2 linked regions of the Alligator mississippiensis genome follow. Each later gene encodes a partner of the first gene's protein in a complex. Links are inferred from orthologs where the notes say so. Each region holds a gene or a part of one and is shown on either strand. Other genes may lie near its edges.

Region 1 (7,654 bases):
AATCGGTTAAGAGAAGTGAGGTCTGGTTTTTTGTCCTGTTTGGAAGGGAGAAGAGTTACTTGTCAAAAGTACTCTGCCACTATAATAGATTTTTGGGCAGAAGTGTCCAAGACCTTGTGTCATACATAATTAAAGGCTGGAGTCACTGGTAGGCTCCGGATGGTTCGGCCAAAAGACAGCAATAAACTATCTTATCAGTTAAGATAGGTTTATGACTGCTTTGCATCACCAGACCAGTACAAAGCAGTCATAGCAAGCCAAAAATAAACATCTGATCAGCCAAACTTCACTGTTATCCCAAACCAGGTCACATTGCCCAGCATCTGGTAAACTTAAAATCTCTTGTTATCCAAACTTACTCTTGTGTTCCCTCATACACTTAGCTGATACTAGAAGTGTATCCTCAGCATTGAAGATATGAATGGTCATAAACTGGTATTAATTACTCCAACCTGGTATTAATTACTCCAGCCTTACAGACACGTATGGGAAGTTCAAGTGCAAATTATGGAGGAAGTAAATATGTAATCAATAAAAATTTAAAATTTGTTTTAAAAACATGTTGACAGCAAAAAGCTCTGAAACAAAGATGAAAGTTATAGGTGATACAATAAATGAAAAAGTAGAGAAGAGACAGTTCCAAGTCAAACTTTGCAGGTCTGAACTTTCCTCCTGGTAATTATGAACTGCGACAGCTCATTATAAAGAAGAGGCTGGCTCCAAAATTAAGGTTCAGATTCATTCTTCCCTAGAGATGACTGATGCTTGGGTGCAGCATTCTGGTAGTGGCCCATCTTTAATCAAAAGCATCTGTTAAAGCCTAGGGCCAAATCTTTGTCAATCAGCATAAATCCATTATTGACTTTAATGCCACATTATGCCAACTGTGAACTTGGTCCATCATCTATAATACCATTTGATTTTTCATTTACTTGGCCTCACAATCCATTCCACATTCGTCATTAAAGACTTACGTTCAGGCTTGCTTTCACAGTTAAAGCCTCTGGATCCCCCATAGCAGGTACAGACCAGTGTGTTTCCCAGGTAAATGCGTTCCCATTGCTGGTTTATTTGATAGTGTCGGCCATTGTCAAAACAGCCCTCTGAAGGAATGAAAACATAAGTCTTCAGTTTACATTTGTCTCCATGCACATGACCCTCAAACAAAAAGGGGAAAGAGTTAAAGCATTCAGTGGCATATACCCAAGGTCCTGGACCTGCCCCTAATGTGGCAACTGGAGTTTGAGATTTGCAGAGAAAGCAAGATGGAGCACTGAATTTGAAACCTTGTGGGCACTCTGCTCTGAATGAAATACTCCAGAAACTGCATGGGTGGGTTTGAAGCAGAGATTTAACAGGCTTCAAATCTACAGATGGAAAATACTACTCCTCCAGGGCCCGATCCAAAGCGCCAATGGAATCTATGGAAAGACCTCAATTGCCTTCATTGGTCTTTGGAGCAAGTCCCGGTCCATCGCTGCTAGTCGGAATTGTTCCCCAGGTAACGCTGCCAAGAACTTTGTCAGTACGCCTCTTAACGTGGCAAGCAACGGGCCTCCACCACTTCCCCTGAGAGAGCAGCTCCCAGCCTACTGGATTGCAATGCCAGGAAGTTTGTCCTTGATAATCAGGCTACATTTTCCCAACCAATTTGAAAGGTGATAAGGGCAATTGTTTCACCAAACATCTCCTTCCCCCGCAACATAATTGCTTGCAGAAAATTGGTCTAATAAAAGATATCACATCTACCCAAAGAACCTGGCAAAAAGAAGTGCATTAGTGTTTTTGCTTCACTGTGTTTAACTCTTTCATTGCACTGTGTAATCAAACACACATTGTTTTGAGATGAAGGGGTCTGATGCTAACCCAGCTGAAGAGCTCTTTAGTTTACAGGGTTGTTGGTTGTAGCCGTGTTGGTCTGAGGGCATAGGCAGGCAAGGTTCTTTGGGTAGATGTGATAGCTTTTATTAGAGCAGCTAGTTGGTCTAAGAAGAGATGTCACATCTACCCAAAGAACCTTGCCTGTCTTTAATTTACAGGCATGTGGCAGGCAAGCTCCCTTCCTGCTGCCTCTAACCAGCTTCCACTCCCATGTCTTCATAGGGAAGTGGCATTTTTGCCCATCAAAACTCACGCAGCCAGATCCTTACACGAGTGTCAGGCTAGGCGACTACTCGGCACTACAAAGATGCTGCAACTTGCTCACTTTGGAGGGGGAAGGAGGACATTCTTCTCTCTCTCTGCCAAGCATGCCAAGCAAAGCCCATCAGAGTACCAAACTTTTGGCCGAGCTCCATCGCAGGCTTCAACCGCCCACAAGACCAGGCAAGTCAAACCAGATCCCTTTCAGCCCCCCTTCCTACAGGACCTGCTCCCAGGACTGCACTTGGGTTTCATAGGATCACAGAAAGTGAGGGCTGGAAAGGACCTCAGGGTCATATCTAGTCCAACCCCCTGCTCAAAGCAGGACCAGCCCCAACTAGATCATCCCAGCCAAGGCTTTGTCTAGCTGGGTTTTGAAAACCTCCAAGGATGGAGCATCCACCACCTCTCTGGGTAACCTGCTCCAGTGTTTTATTACCAGCCTAGTGAGCAAATTCTCCCTAATATCCAACCTAAACTTCCCTTGCTGCAACTTGAGACCGCTGCTCCTTGCTCTGTGTTTCCCAACTCCCTGCCAGCTGTGGCAGGGCTCTTGGGGACTGTCCCCTGCCCCCTCCCCCGGTACTCACGTTTGCTCTGCGTGCCGGGCACCGGGGGCTGGACAACTTGCTGGGCTTGCCTCCTGCTTTTGGCCGCCGTGCGCTCCGTGCAGCGCGCCCCTAGGCACAGGGCGAAGAGCAGCAGCAGCAGCAGCCGCTGCCCCGCGGGGCTGCTGGGCATCCTGCAGAGGTGGGGGAGAGAGACGGGCAGAAGCGGAGCAGCGGCTCTGCACTTCGCTGCAACTTTCCCGGGGTGGCTGCGGGGAGTGCCGTGCCCCGCTCCTCCCTGCCTGGCGAGAGCGGCCGAGCGCCGGCCCGCGGGGGTTGATATAACCCCGGCGGCGGGAGCGGGGCCGAGCGGAGGCACTGCACGAGCCCGCGCCCCCCTTCCCGCTCCCGCACCTATTTGCCTGTTCTAATTCCAGCGGCTCCCATTGGTCCCGGCGCGCGCTGACGTCACGGGGCTGAGCGTTCCGCGGCGAACAAAAGCGACCGCTGCAAACTTCGCTCAAGTTGTGTGAGGCGCGGACGGGACCTGAAGCAGGGCGAGCTGACGCGGCCCGTGGCCCCCGGCTTGGAGGGGGAAAACCGGTCACGGGCTGCTCGGGTCTGCCTCCCCGAGAGGCCCAGGCAATACATGGCCTTTGATGCCTTTAGATGCTTCTCCGTTTCGCCGCCAGTCAGGCTAAAGCAAAGAAAAGGCGGGTGTCGAACGCTATGAATATCCCGAGGCTGCCAGAAGCACTCTCACAATGGTATTGCAAAAAATACCGCACAAAATATTGCGGGGAAAAAAACCCCAAAAAACAACCCAATAAAGCCTTTTCTCTTGAGTAAAGACTCAACAGCCCTGAAGTCGATGGGATTAGGGAAGAAAATCTTGGTTTTGTTTGTTTTGGGGGAGGTTTGTTTTCCCTTCTGTGAAGAGAGGGAGTAGGAGGAGAATATTAACTAACAATGGGTATTAATTCACACTGTTTTAGGTCATGATCCGTTCCCCCCATAGTATAATTGTCCCCCCACAGGTCTTTGGATCCCTGTCAGCATGAACGCCTTGTGCCTCCAGAGGCTGGGGGGTCCCAGCGACAGCCTGCAGGCAGCGGTGTCAGTGGCAGGGGCATGGCGGCAGCCAGCGAGGACCGCCTGCAGGTGGCCGCAGTGACGTTGGCAGCGAGGGCTGGCCGAGCAGGGACCGCCAGCAGGTGGCCGTGGCGGTGTCAGCAGCAATGGGGGGTAGCAAGCAGCAACCGCCCGCAGACACCACTGCCAGTGACCGCCTGCAGACACCAGCGGCAATGTTGGTGGTGGTCAATCTCAGGGGGTCGCGTGCACCTGCGTGTACCCCTTATGCGTTGCCAATGCCCGTCAGGACTCTGAGCATCCTTCTTTATTTTCCTTGCTTCCCAAAAATTCATAAAGAAAAGATCTTGCTTTATGATCATGATTCTCTTCACTAGTCACCAAAACCAGTGGTTCTCAATGTTTTTTGTACCAGGGCCCATTTGTAAACATTGATGTCCAGCCCTGACACACAGACCCCTGACCCTGCCAGTGCCCCTCACTCCCAACCCCCCCAGCCCCAGCCCTGCTGGTGCCCCTCACTCCCCACCCAGTGCCCACCACCCCCAGGCACAAGGCCCCACCAGTGTGTGGGGCAGGGGATGAGTGTGTGGGGGGGGCATATGGGTGGGTGGGTACATGACCCCCCAGATTTGTGCACTTAATGGACACGGAGCTGCAGCCCAACAGATGCAGCAGCCTCCGCAACCCAGTGCTGGACTTGATACAGGAGGGCAGAGTAGGGCGGCGAGACTCATTACTGCCACTGCCACCAGAGCTACACACCATCCACGCTGCCACCAGTGTGAGGAGTCATAGATCGGAAGCAGGCCTGCACTGCCTTCACCTTCTCCTGCCCCCAGCCGCTCATGCGCCGGCCTGTGGCTCTACCCTACTGTTATGGCCCAACTGCACTGCCGCTCCCCTCAAGCCATGGCTCCACCCCAGAGAGAAGGTGGGGTGGCAGGCAGTGTTGCCTGTGCCCCCTGTCCCCGACACGTCATCTATGCCCCCCTAGACTTCCCTGTGGGGAGCTGCTCTCCACACTGCTTGGCTGCTATGTGCATGTGTGTATGTGCACCTGCGCATGGTGCCCCCTGCCTGATCACCCTGTTCCTGCTCCCCTCAGCCCCTTCCAGGCTGGAACTCTGCCAGGCTGCAAGGAGAAACCCATGGTTTCCCACATCATTCTCATTTAAAGGAGAATACATTTTTAAAGTTTGTTGAAAAAATTCTTTAAAATTTGTTTGTGACCCACTTCTGGGTTGTGACCCATGGGTTGAGAAACGCTGACCTAGACATAACCTCGGTGGTGTCACTCCTCAAAAGAGAAGTTATTACCAATCAAGCACTCCCCCATTCTGACATAACTTCAGTGGCATCACTCCTCAAAAAGAGAAGTTATTACCAATGAAAGCACTCCCCCATTCTCTCCTCCACAGCTTTTGTTGGAAAATATCCCATGATGTCAGAAGGTAGCAGGGAAAGCCTCATGGCTAAGATGTTAATTGCACTCAAAGTAGTCCCTTCCACTCACCTTTAGGGTACATCCATGTGGAATTTGGAGAAGTCAGTGTCATGTGGGTGAGAGTACTTGTTTTAATCTAGCTACCTTAAGTAACAATAGTAGTGAAAATGGAAGTCTGCACGTAAGCCTGGGCTGCTAAGATAATATGAAAGACTTTCTAATGCTGGGGGTTGAGAAGTGTAACTGTGTTCAGATCCACTCTTCAGCTGGAAGCCAAAACAATTAGGCTCTGTAGGACATCTGTAGGCATTCTAGGGAGATAAAAATCTACACCCCGAAGCTAGAAGCATACCTCCTTCAGTTTACAGCTCCTTGCAGTTTACAGCTTTCATGCTGGCCCAAAGATGCATTGTCTAGTGTTCCACTTATGAATGTGGAGTGTTCATGGTCAATGGATTCCCATCAGCATGGCTACCTATCCTGTTCTGGCTAGTCCACGTTCAATACCTTCTTTGTTTGTCTATATAAGAAACCAGATGTGGTCATTCCACCTACAGCTGTGCTGCAGCCCCAAAATGGCACTTGAAGTGGCCCATCAAGGCACGGATGAATTTCCTCTGGGATGATGGACAGCAAGATGCCACATAACAATTTTGCCTGTATGTCTTCTCTATGAATTGGTTTGGGAGCTATTGCTGCGTGTCATAAAAATTCTTAGCTGAGAGATGATAAACCACCAGGCTAGTCTGGTTCCTGATTGAGTAGGTCGGGTCCTGACATGCATGGACACATGTTTTCCCAGACCTACTGCTGAATTCTGAATGATACCAGTGAGAGTTCTTCAGGGAAACAAAGGATATTGAAATATAAATCTAGTTCAAGGGTTCTCAACCTCTAGCCATGGGCCAGATCCAGGCATCAGCCCATATAATTCAGCCTGTGGGGCACCCTAAATCCCTGTCACAGTGTGTGGAGCCAAGCAGAAGCCCATGGGGACCTGTGTCTCCAATCCCAGCATGTAGAGGTGGCACAAGGCCCCAGTCTCAAGTGTGCAAAGCTGAGTGGAGGTGGTGCATAGCCCCGGGGCCCAATCCCAATGTGTAGGGGCAACACAGGGTCCAGTCCAGTCTACTGACCACCTGATGCCACTCATCTGGCCTGTGGGACCAAAAGATTGAGTGTCGTTGGTCTAGTTCTATTCACTAAAACTCCTTATCAAGTTTTTTTCTGTTGGCATCGCAATATTGTCTCTAGGTCCCAGCTGGGATCAGGGTCCCATTGTAGTATGAACTGTACAGGTATATAAGAAGTTATTGTCTCAGGAAAGCACATTTGCAAATCTCCTTACTTTGCCATTTAAAAACATAGTTGTGTCCATTACCCAGAAGTCTTATCTGCCTGAAGATTGGCAGCAGGAACTTGACCTGGCAGTTAAGGTGAGCTGGGATCAGCTTAGTCATGGCATGAGAAAGGTGAACTGTGATCCTTCTCCATCTCTAATTTTAGATGTAAGCTATCCAAGGTACCAGCTCCCTCCCATTCAATGTGCACACAGAACTGGTGTGGCTGTATCCAGAGAGGAACTTAATCTTGTAACAGGTGCAAATCTCTGCAAAGCAGTGAACATCTGGTTCTACTATACTTACAATATACATTCATTTTTAAAAATGGGTCCCCATATTTAAGATGTTGTATACTGTTTTACCCAGGAATTAATTGTAGATGCTGAATTGGAATCCTCCGATGAGAGAGATTCTGGGTATGTATTCCTGGGTTACAATGCTCTAAACTGATTGTTTGTAATAGGAATATATCTTTCTCAGACATTTGGAATAGATCCTCTTGCTGAGTTGGTATCAAGTGAGGAAAAGAAGGACTTGTCAATTTGGAAAATCCACATATGCAATGGGATATCATGTCTAGCTTATCTGTACTACACTAGCACCTAGAAGCTCTACTTAAGAATTAGGATGTGCTTGTGCCAGGTACTAGAGACAAAAAAGCAAAAATGACCTGCTCCAGCAAGTCTACAGGTTATGTTAAGTGTGTCAGGGAGACTGAAAGCATGTTTTCCAAGAAGCCTAGAAATGTTTAAGAAAGCTTTTCTGTGTAGGTGTTTGTAATGATGATAATGGGGGCACAAGATGAATCCTCTTGCTGTTGCCAAGAATTGCTAATAGGGTTCCATATAATATAGTGGAAGAGAATTAGGGAGTGTGGGGGTGGGTGTGTACACACGCCAGAGAGCGAGATTTCATCTGTCAGTAAGGAGATGAGGAGTCTTAGTAGAATGCAGAAAAATATCTGAGGCTACACCTTTACTGTGCTGCCTCTGTCAGCAGACAACACTGCCAGAGCACGTGCACACCCTTGCGCTTCTGATGGCTCCTTTTAGCTTTGTTATACCAGCGATGCTGCCAGCGCA
Region 2 (7,043 bases), about 11 Mb from region 1:
TGTCATGGCAGCCCATGCACTACTTTAGGTTTTCTGTCCTCCCAGCACTAGAAGACTCCATGAAACAGGCTGACCAGCAAATGGCATCTCTTATGCCCAGACCTAACCCCCTGTCCCTCTTCTCTGCATTGCTGAATGTCTTGGTTTTAGCAGTGACAGCAGATTCATCCCTTCCAAGCACGGGGTGAGGGAGTTTGCTGACCACATTTCAAAGGGTGCCACTAATGAGATGCCCCAATTGGAGCTGTCTCCTGGTGCCATATAGTCCTCTAGGGCACAAACAGGGCAAATTCACACCTGAAATAACTCTGTAGCTGCAGAGCACCAAAGAAAGCCATGGCACCAAGGAATGTGTTTTCCCAAGAGCTGAGGCCAAATTCCCAGGTGCCTAGTCTCATAGCCAGGGTCTGGATTCTCTAAAGAACACTGCTCCCAGCAAGGTGCCTACATCAGTTAATTGGTTTCTCACCAGCCCTTGATTCCAGCAGCCACCAGGGCAGCAGATTTCCAAAGCAGCCCAGCCCAAAGCACAGAGCCCATTAGAAAGCCTGGGCCCCATATCACCCTGTGAAATGATTCTAGTGGGCTTGTGGAAGGGTCAGGCCTGAAGGTGCTGCTGAGATGACAGGACTAAAATGTCCTTGTTCCAAGTTGGAGCCCCCCTTTGCATCAGACTGAAACCAGCTTGATGTTGCTCTTTCCCTTCTATTTATTCTGTCTCTCTGCTTTTTTTCTTCTAAGATCCTAATGGCTTTAGCAGTTTTGGGGGGAGAGCGGATTTCTTTTCCTTCTTTCCCTCATTCTGTTCCTACCCACCCCCTTCCCGCCCTCCCCTGCTCTCACTCTCAGCAAAACCATGGCATTCCTGAAATGGCCTCAACTGCTAACTCCAATGATGAGGTGGCGTCTTCTCCTCTCCTTTCTACTCCTTCCCCCAACCATTTCTCTCTTTACATATATATAAAAAAAGATGACATTCTTTTCTTTTCTGTCATGCTGCAAAAATTAAAGACACATCTTCAACCTGGAAGGCAGCCAGCTTTTTCAAGTTTCAGAAGATGTGATTGGAGGAGATTTCTCTTGCAACGTGTCTTGGGCGCATAGATACAGGGTTGAAAGCTGGCCAGATATTTTGGTGTGTGCGCCTGTGTGTGTGTTGAAAAACCCAGTACAGATAGATAGCTACTTTTGGTGGAGCTTTCTTTGCATTTAATTGCAGCCCTAAAAAAAAATAGTAGAGGTCGCCATATGATTCTTCCTTGTCCCAATTTCGACGTGTCCCATTTTTTTGGAGGGGAGGAAGAGAACACACACATCTTAAAAAAATACAAAGCTTCTGGAGCTGCCACTCATGAGTTCCAGCCATCATCCAGCCTGAAGGTGTGAGGAGGTTCAGGGCATTTTAGACGTTGTAGAGTTAGCGATCTTATTTACAGAGCCGTAGAGGGGCCTTATTATCGGCAGGCCTACACTAGGGCTCATTATTTGCACCTATACAAAGTGATTGGGCTCATTATTTGCACTGATAGAAAGTGATTGTCATGTCAGAGCCTCTCCCCTTCATTCTAATCAGGTCGCATCTGAAACCCCTATGCACCCATATAGAATCACTGTCACACACTGCCGCTCCTTGATCGCCTGACTCCAAGATCTGAGTCAAACTGAAACCACCCCATTGAAGAGGAATCTGATGGGCTAGGGTAGACTATCTATTGTGGGCTAGATCCACAACTGATGCTCATTGCTGTAGATTTACACCAACTGGCCACATGGCCCACTGACTCCAGTGGAGCCCTGTTGGGTTATGCCAACTTGAGGTTTGCCCATTGACTCAGATGGAGCTCTCTTGGGGTACACCAGCTGAGCTCACTTCCTCTGCTCCTATTATCTCTGAAAGCAATAGTAAGACATGTAAAGAAATGTGGGCTGCCAGGCATTAGACTCTGCCACCCTTTATTAACATAAACCTTGATCTTGGATGTCCAACACCAATGGAAGTGTTTTTACTGACACTACTGGAAGCAGGCACCAAGGTTTGTGTGTGAGTGTTTCCAACAAAGTAGTAGGACCAAAGACAGTTAGGTCAGAAGAATATGACCCCTCCAGCACTGATAATGTAGACAGAGGTAGATCGTGGTATAAAGAGGCTTAGCTCCATCAACTACCATGATTTATGCAGATAGAGGACCTGTAGTACAGTCTTCTTCCATGACTAAAGGCACATTTGACTTCACACTCTCACTAAAAGAAAACAAAAACCAAATAAAAAACACCCTAATGCCACATTGTCTAGATAACCTACAAAGAATCCTGTGCAATAAATATTTTCTTTTCCTTCTTTGTACTAAAGATACTGCCGTCTGCCATTGCCTGGTAAATATATATATTTTTGTGTGTAATTATAACCTCCAAAAATTGTATGGTATATTGTGTGTTATTGTCAGGGTGCTTTTTCTTTTTCCAACCAACGTGGCTCTTCAAACGTAGAAACAGCTGTGGATCTCTGCCAAGGAGGCAAGAAAGCAGGAAAGAATGAAGGAGAAAGAAAGAGAGAAATGGAAAAAAAAGAAAGAAAATGCTCTTTGCAGCATTTTGTACAGCGAATTCAAAAATCCTCCTGCAGTATTTCAGGAAATGAAGCTAAAGTTTGAAGATTTTATTATTAAGCAGCATTGCCTCGGAATGGAGATGGCATGGTATCTCCTTTTGCTTGGTAACTTCCAGATTCACACCTCTGAAAAGCCATGTGGAAGTTTAGTGGGTTTTTAATTGACTTTGATTTGCAAAGCAGGGTGAGAACATGAAGGCAGAAATCAGAGACTTTTACAGCCCATGGAAACCTCCATTCTGTCGAAAGAAGCGCAATTGTTGAGGCTTTGAGTGACTCACTACTTCTGCTTTTTCATAACAATACATGGAGCTGTATATTGCATTACTGTGTGGCGGATGCATGCAAACATGCTTATTTGCAATAGATATATTTGTGTGTGTGTATGCATATTTGTGTGTGTGTAGGCATATAGCTACAGGACCATTTAATTGTTATTTTTCTATATTAATGAACACATACTCATGCACATAGTGTGGAGTGATGAAAAATCCTATTGCTGCTGTCTAGAGTCCCCTGTGCATTTCCCTTCTGCATGTTAAAGACATTACCCTGCCACGCTTGCTTCTGTGACATTACAGAACTTTTCCAGTGATTCTATTTCTCCTCCTCTCTTCATTTCCCTTCCTCCTAGACCCTTTCAAAACCTATTCTCTTCTGCCATCAGCACATTTTAACAAGAAGAACATTGCCATTGGACAAAAAAAAATTAAAGCCTTTTTTGTGTGCCTTTACTTAAAATTAACAAAGCGCAGTTATTATTTCTAAAAACAAAACAAGGAAGGTTTCCAAGATAAAGCCACAGCAACAGGCAGCAATGCTGGGATCTGGATTTCCCCCCACCCACCTGATCTTGGAAATATTTGCAAACTCCCCCAAAAGTTTTTTTCTATACATTTTGAGAAATGCAAGCTGAAAAGTGAGCTTCTTCAATGCCTCGCTTCCCTGGTGAATCTTTGGATCACCTAAGAAGAAGTGCATTCCACCTGGTGAAGCAGCACACAATTGTTTTCCATGCAGGAAAGCTTCCCTCCTAACAAACAACTGCTCAGCCCAGCCTCTTAACTATGCAACAGCAAAGCACACTTCTCCCCCTTGCTCAAAGAATTTTCCTCCCTGATTCTTCTCTTTCAATATCATTAAGAACCTACCACATCCCTACTGTACATGCAACCTGCACTGCCAACACAGAGGATCCAAAGCCACATAGACTGGTCCATACCCTTGTGACTGAATACAAAGGGGGTTGGCTATAGCCTCCCAACTATTTTTTTTTTTTGCCTGGGACTGTTAGCTGGGCTCCTCTGATTGGCTGAGGGGCTGGTCCAAGATCCCCTCTGCACTGAGAAACAAGCTGGGATGGGATCCACCTCTCTGGGATGCTGGATCATATAAAAAGCGAACCTAAGCCTTGGAAAGTCAGTAGGAAGTTTCTGCTGGGGTCCGGATTGGAACTACATAGTCAGATCCTCCCTGTATGACCGGACTCTAAAAGAACAAAGGGGCCCAAAGAGTCTACATGTCTAATATTTAGACATGTTCAGCTTTGTGGATTCTCGGTTACTGCTGTTGATAGCAGCGACTGTACTACTCACCAAAGGTCAAGGAGAAGAAGACAGTAAGTACAAGCTTCCTTTACTAGACATAAATCTTGGTATTATTGCTTAGAGGCATTTTCTGTTTAAAAGTTGCTGTTGATGTATACAGGCAAGTGCTGCTTTGGGTGGGTTTGGAGCTAGAATGTGAAATGCGCTTCAGAGCAAGCCGGATGCAAAGTTTGCAGAAAAACAAAAACTCTTGTCAATGTTCTTGAGTGTGGTTGCGAACTTCAGCCCTTTGTAAGAATAGGATGGGAATTGCTGGATATATATATATATATATATATATATATACATACACGAATGTATGTATATTGCATGCAGTTATGGCTAGGAAACTGTGTTTGGAATGTCTACCAAGGCAGAGGGAGAGGAAAAAAATGTGTTCGGCGCCTTAAAATGAGGAGGTAGCAAGAATTTTTCTACTCTTGCAAAGCAGCTGGGGTCTGGGGGGGAGCAAGGGGGGGCAGAATGCATTGCGGAAAAGGTGAAGTGGAAAAATGAAGTCTTTGCTGAACTGAATGCTTCCCCCAGTGAAGCTGTCCGCTGTAGGACTCAGCCCTTTCAGAAGTTAACCAGCTGCAGAAGGGGATGGGTGTGTTCAGTTGCTCTGTCTCTTCTAAACATGCCCCTTGAGGGCAGGCAGCCTTGGATCAATTAGGAGTTCTGAGATTCCTTGCCAAGTTCAGAAAGAGGGTGGGGAAGAGAGAGAGGAGCACAGTCTGCCTGTAGGAGGGGCTGTCACCAGAGGGAGGATCAAGGGAAAGAAAAAAGAGAAAGCAAGTTATGGAAAAGCCATGGTGGGTCTTGAAAAGCGAAAGGGAGGGTGGAGGGAGAAAGGGGGAATCAGAGCTGGAGTCCTCGGATCTGCAAAAGCCATCAGGAAAGAATTAGAAAAGTCTCAGATGATTCATAAGGAAAATGTTTTAGTAGCCCATAAAGCACAAAAGTCTAGACATCACTTCATAGACAAAACCTTTTGGATGCTAAGGAACTGGATGCATGAAGTTGCTTGGAGGATCCACAGGCGACCTCTGGTGGCCATCGCCTGATTTACTCCCACAGCCCCCCCACACCTTCCACCCCATTGCCCTGTAACCCTGGAGCCCCATGGGGGGGCCACAACCTGAATCACTACTTGCCAAAGGGGCTCCAGTTTCAGGGTCAGCAGCTTGATAGGCTTACACCCCCACTCAAATGCAGACAGCAATAGCACTAATTCACGCCTGCTGCAGTGATTTACTTGGGCTTGGCCTGCCACCTAGGGACCAAGAGCCTGACTGCCCCTCCACCAGGATCCCCAGCCTATCAACAGATAAGGTTATGCTTGCAAACCCTGTTCTAGCTTTTAGGGGCTTGGTCGGTCACAGAAATCTATGGGCTTTTAAAAAATGAACTGAACACAAAAAGTGCTGGCACTGCTGAGTAACAGGATAGGATCAACTGGCCTTTCAGATGTAGTTTTGCTGTGTGGATTTTCATAGATTTGTCCCTATTTAGCAGCCAGTGCTAGGGAAAGAGCATGGAGGTTTTTAAAATATGAAATGTGTTTAAAATATTTCCATGTTATGAAAAATAACCTGCCTACTTGAAATCCTCCTCCACATACTTCTCATTATGAAATCTATCTGTTTTTTTCAGATACACTCCCCTTTCCCTCATCCCACCCATCAGCCTAGCCAAGCCTACCTGATCGGGTCACATCCTGGATCTTATTTCAGCCTAGCCAGCCCACCTGGCCTTCCATTCGACCCTAGTCTAGTTCACACTTGCTGTTTTTCCTTCCCACTCCAGTCATTTTCACTTGATCCAATTTCCCAAAGCAACTGACTATTACAGAATAAATTCCACTCCCCTCTGCAGAACCCCTCGTAGCTGGGCCTCCGCCTTCCCTCATCCCTCTGCTCCATCCCTCTTCCCTTTAGAAGAATCCACATTTTTATTTAGCTTGGCTCAGGCTCCAAAAGGTTGCAGTTACAGTTGGATTTAACAATTGGCTGTAGGTTTTGTTTAAATTCCAAAGTAAGTGGAAAGAGTTATTGTGGGGTTGGCATGTTTCCTGTGTCATTGAGCACAGCTGATGAGAAGCAGATGAGTGTGCAAGGGTTCCAGGATGAGGGGGAAAAGAAAAGAGAGATGTGTTATTGGAACTGTGGAGAAAAGAAAAACACTCTTGGATTAAGGAAAAAAATAGTCCCCAACTCTGATCAGCCTTGAGAACTACCCTTGTAGCCTCCTGCTTACTCTTATCCTGCAACTTATGGATTGAGCTCTTGCTCATGATGTGTTCCCCTTCTTTCTCATTGTCTACCTAGTTCAAACTGGAAGCTGCATACAGGATGGACTAGCGTACAACAACACAGACGTATGGAAACCCGAGCCCTGCCAGATCTGCGTATGCGACAATGGCAACATCCTGTGTGACGATGTCATCTGTGATGATACCTCGGACTGTACCAATGCTGAGATCCCCTTTGGAGAATGCTGTCCCATCTGTCCTGACACCGCTGGTATGGACCAGCCTCTATCTGTCTGCCTGGGTAGCCTTGGAGAAGGGCCCAGTCACTACAGTATACAGGGATTAAATGCAATCATCCCTTGCTAACCAGGCAGGAAGGGCATGACATGGGTGACTGGAAGACCACCAAAACCTAGACTGGAAACCAGATAGTCTCATCAGCCCTCATCAGGCTATCATAGAGTGCCCAGCTATAATATGAGACCAGAACATGCACCCCAGCTGGGAAATGGGAAGCCTCTCCTTTGAGCTCTCATGGGCATCTTCTTTTTTAGAGGCATTTCTTACGGTCCTGATTATTCCTGGTAGTGTCCAATGG

Evidence for each region. The genes of interacting proteins can lie anywhere in the genome.
Region 2: the proteins of FN1 (region 1) and COL1A1 are in contact, whole or in part, in a crystal structure (PDB 3GXE), measured with the Homo sapiens proteins. The link is inferred for Alligator mississippiensis from reciprocal best matches to the Homo sapiens genes FN1 and COL1A1. Residues at the interface, in NP_997647.2 of Homo sapiens: Asp516, Gln517, Lys533, His535, Glu537, His539, Leu541, Gly549, Arg550, Gly551, Arg552, Trp553, Lys554, Cys555, Pro557, Gln560, Phe569; in NP_000079.2 of Homo sapiens: Leu261, Pro262, Gly263, Met264, Lys265, Gly266, His267, Arg268.

The regions. Positions count from the first base shown.
Region 1 is NC_081827.1:181,041,735-181,049,388, forward strand, and holds the start of FN1 (fibronectin), read right to left. Parts: upstream 3,042-7,654; 5' UTR 2,884-3,041; coding exon 2,733-2,883; intron 1,104-2,732; coding exon 975-1,103; intron 1-974. UniProt on the Homo sapiens protein: Fibronectins bind cell surfaces and various compounds including collagen, fibrin, heparin, DNA, and actin. Fibronectins are involved in cell adhesion, cell motility, opsonization, wound healing, and maintenance of cell shape.
Region 2 is NC_081827.1:169,758,724-169,765,766, reverse strand, and holds the start of COL1A1 (collagen alpha-1(I) chain), read left to right. Parts: upstream 1-4,022; 5' UTR 4,023-4,144; coding exon 4,145-4,226; intron 4,227-6,521; coding exon 6,522-6,716; exon of another isoform or gene 6,717-7,043. UniProt on the Homo sapiens protein: Type I collagen is a member of group I collagen (fibrillar forming collagen).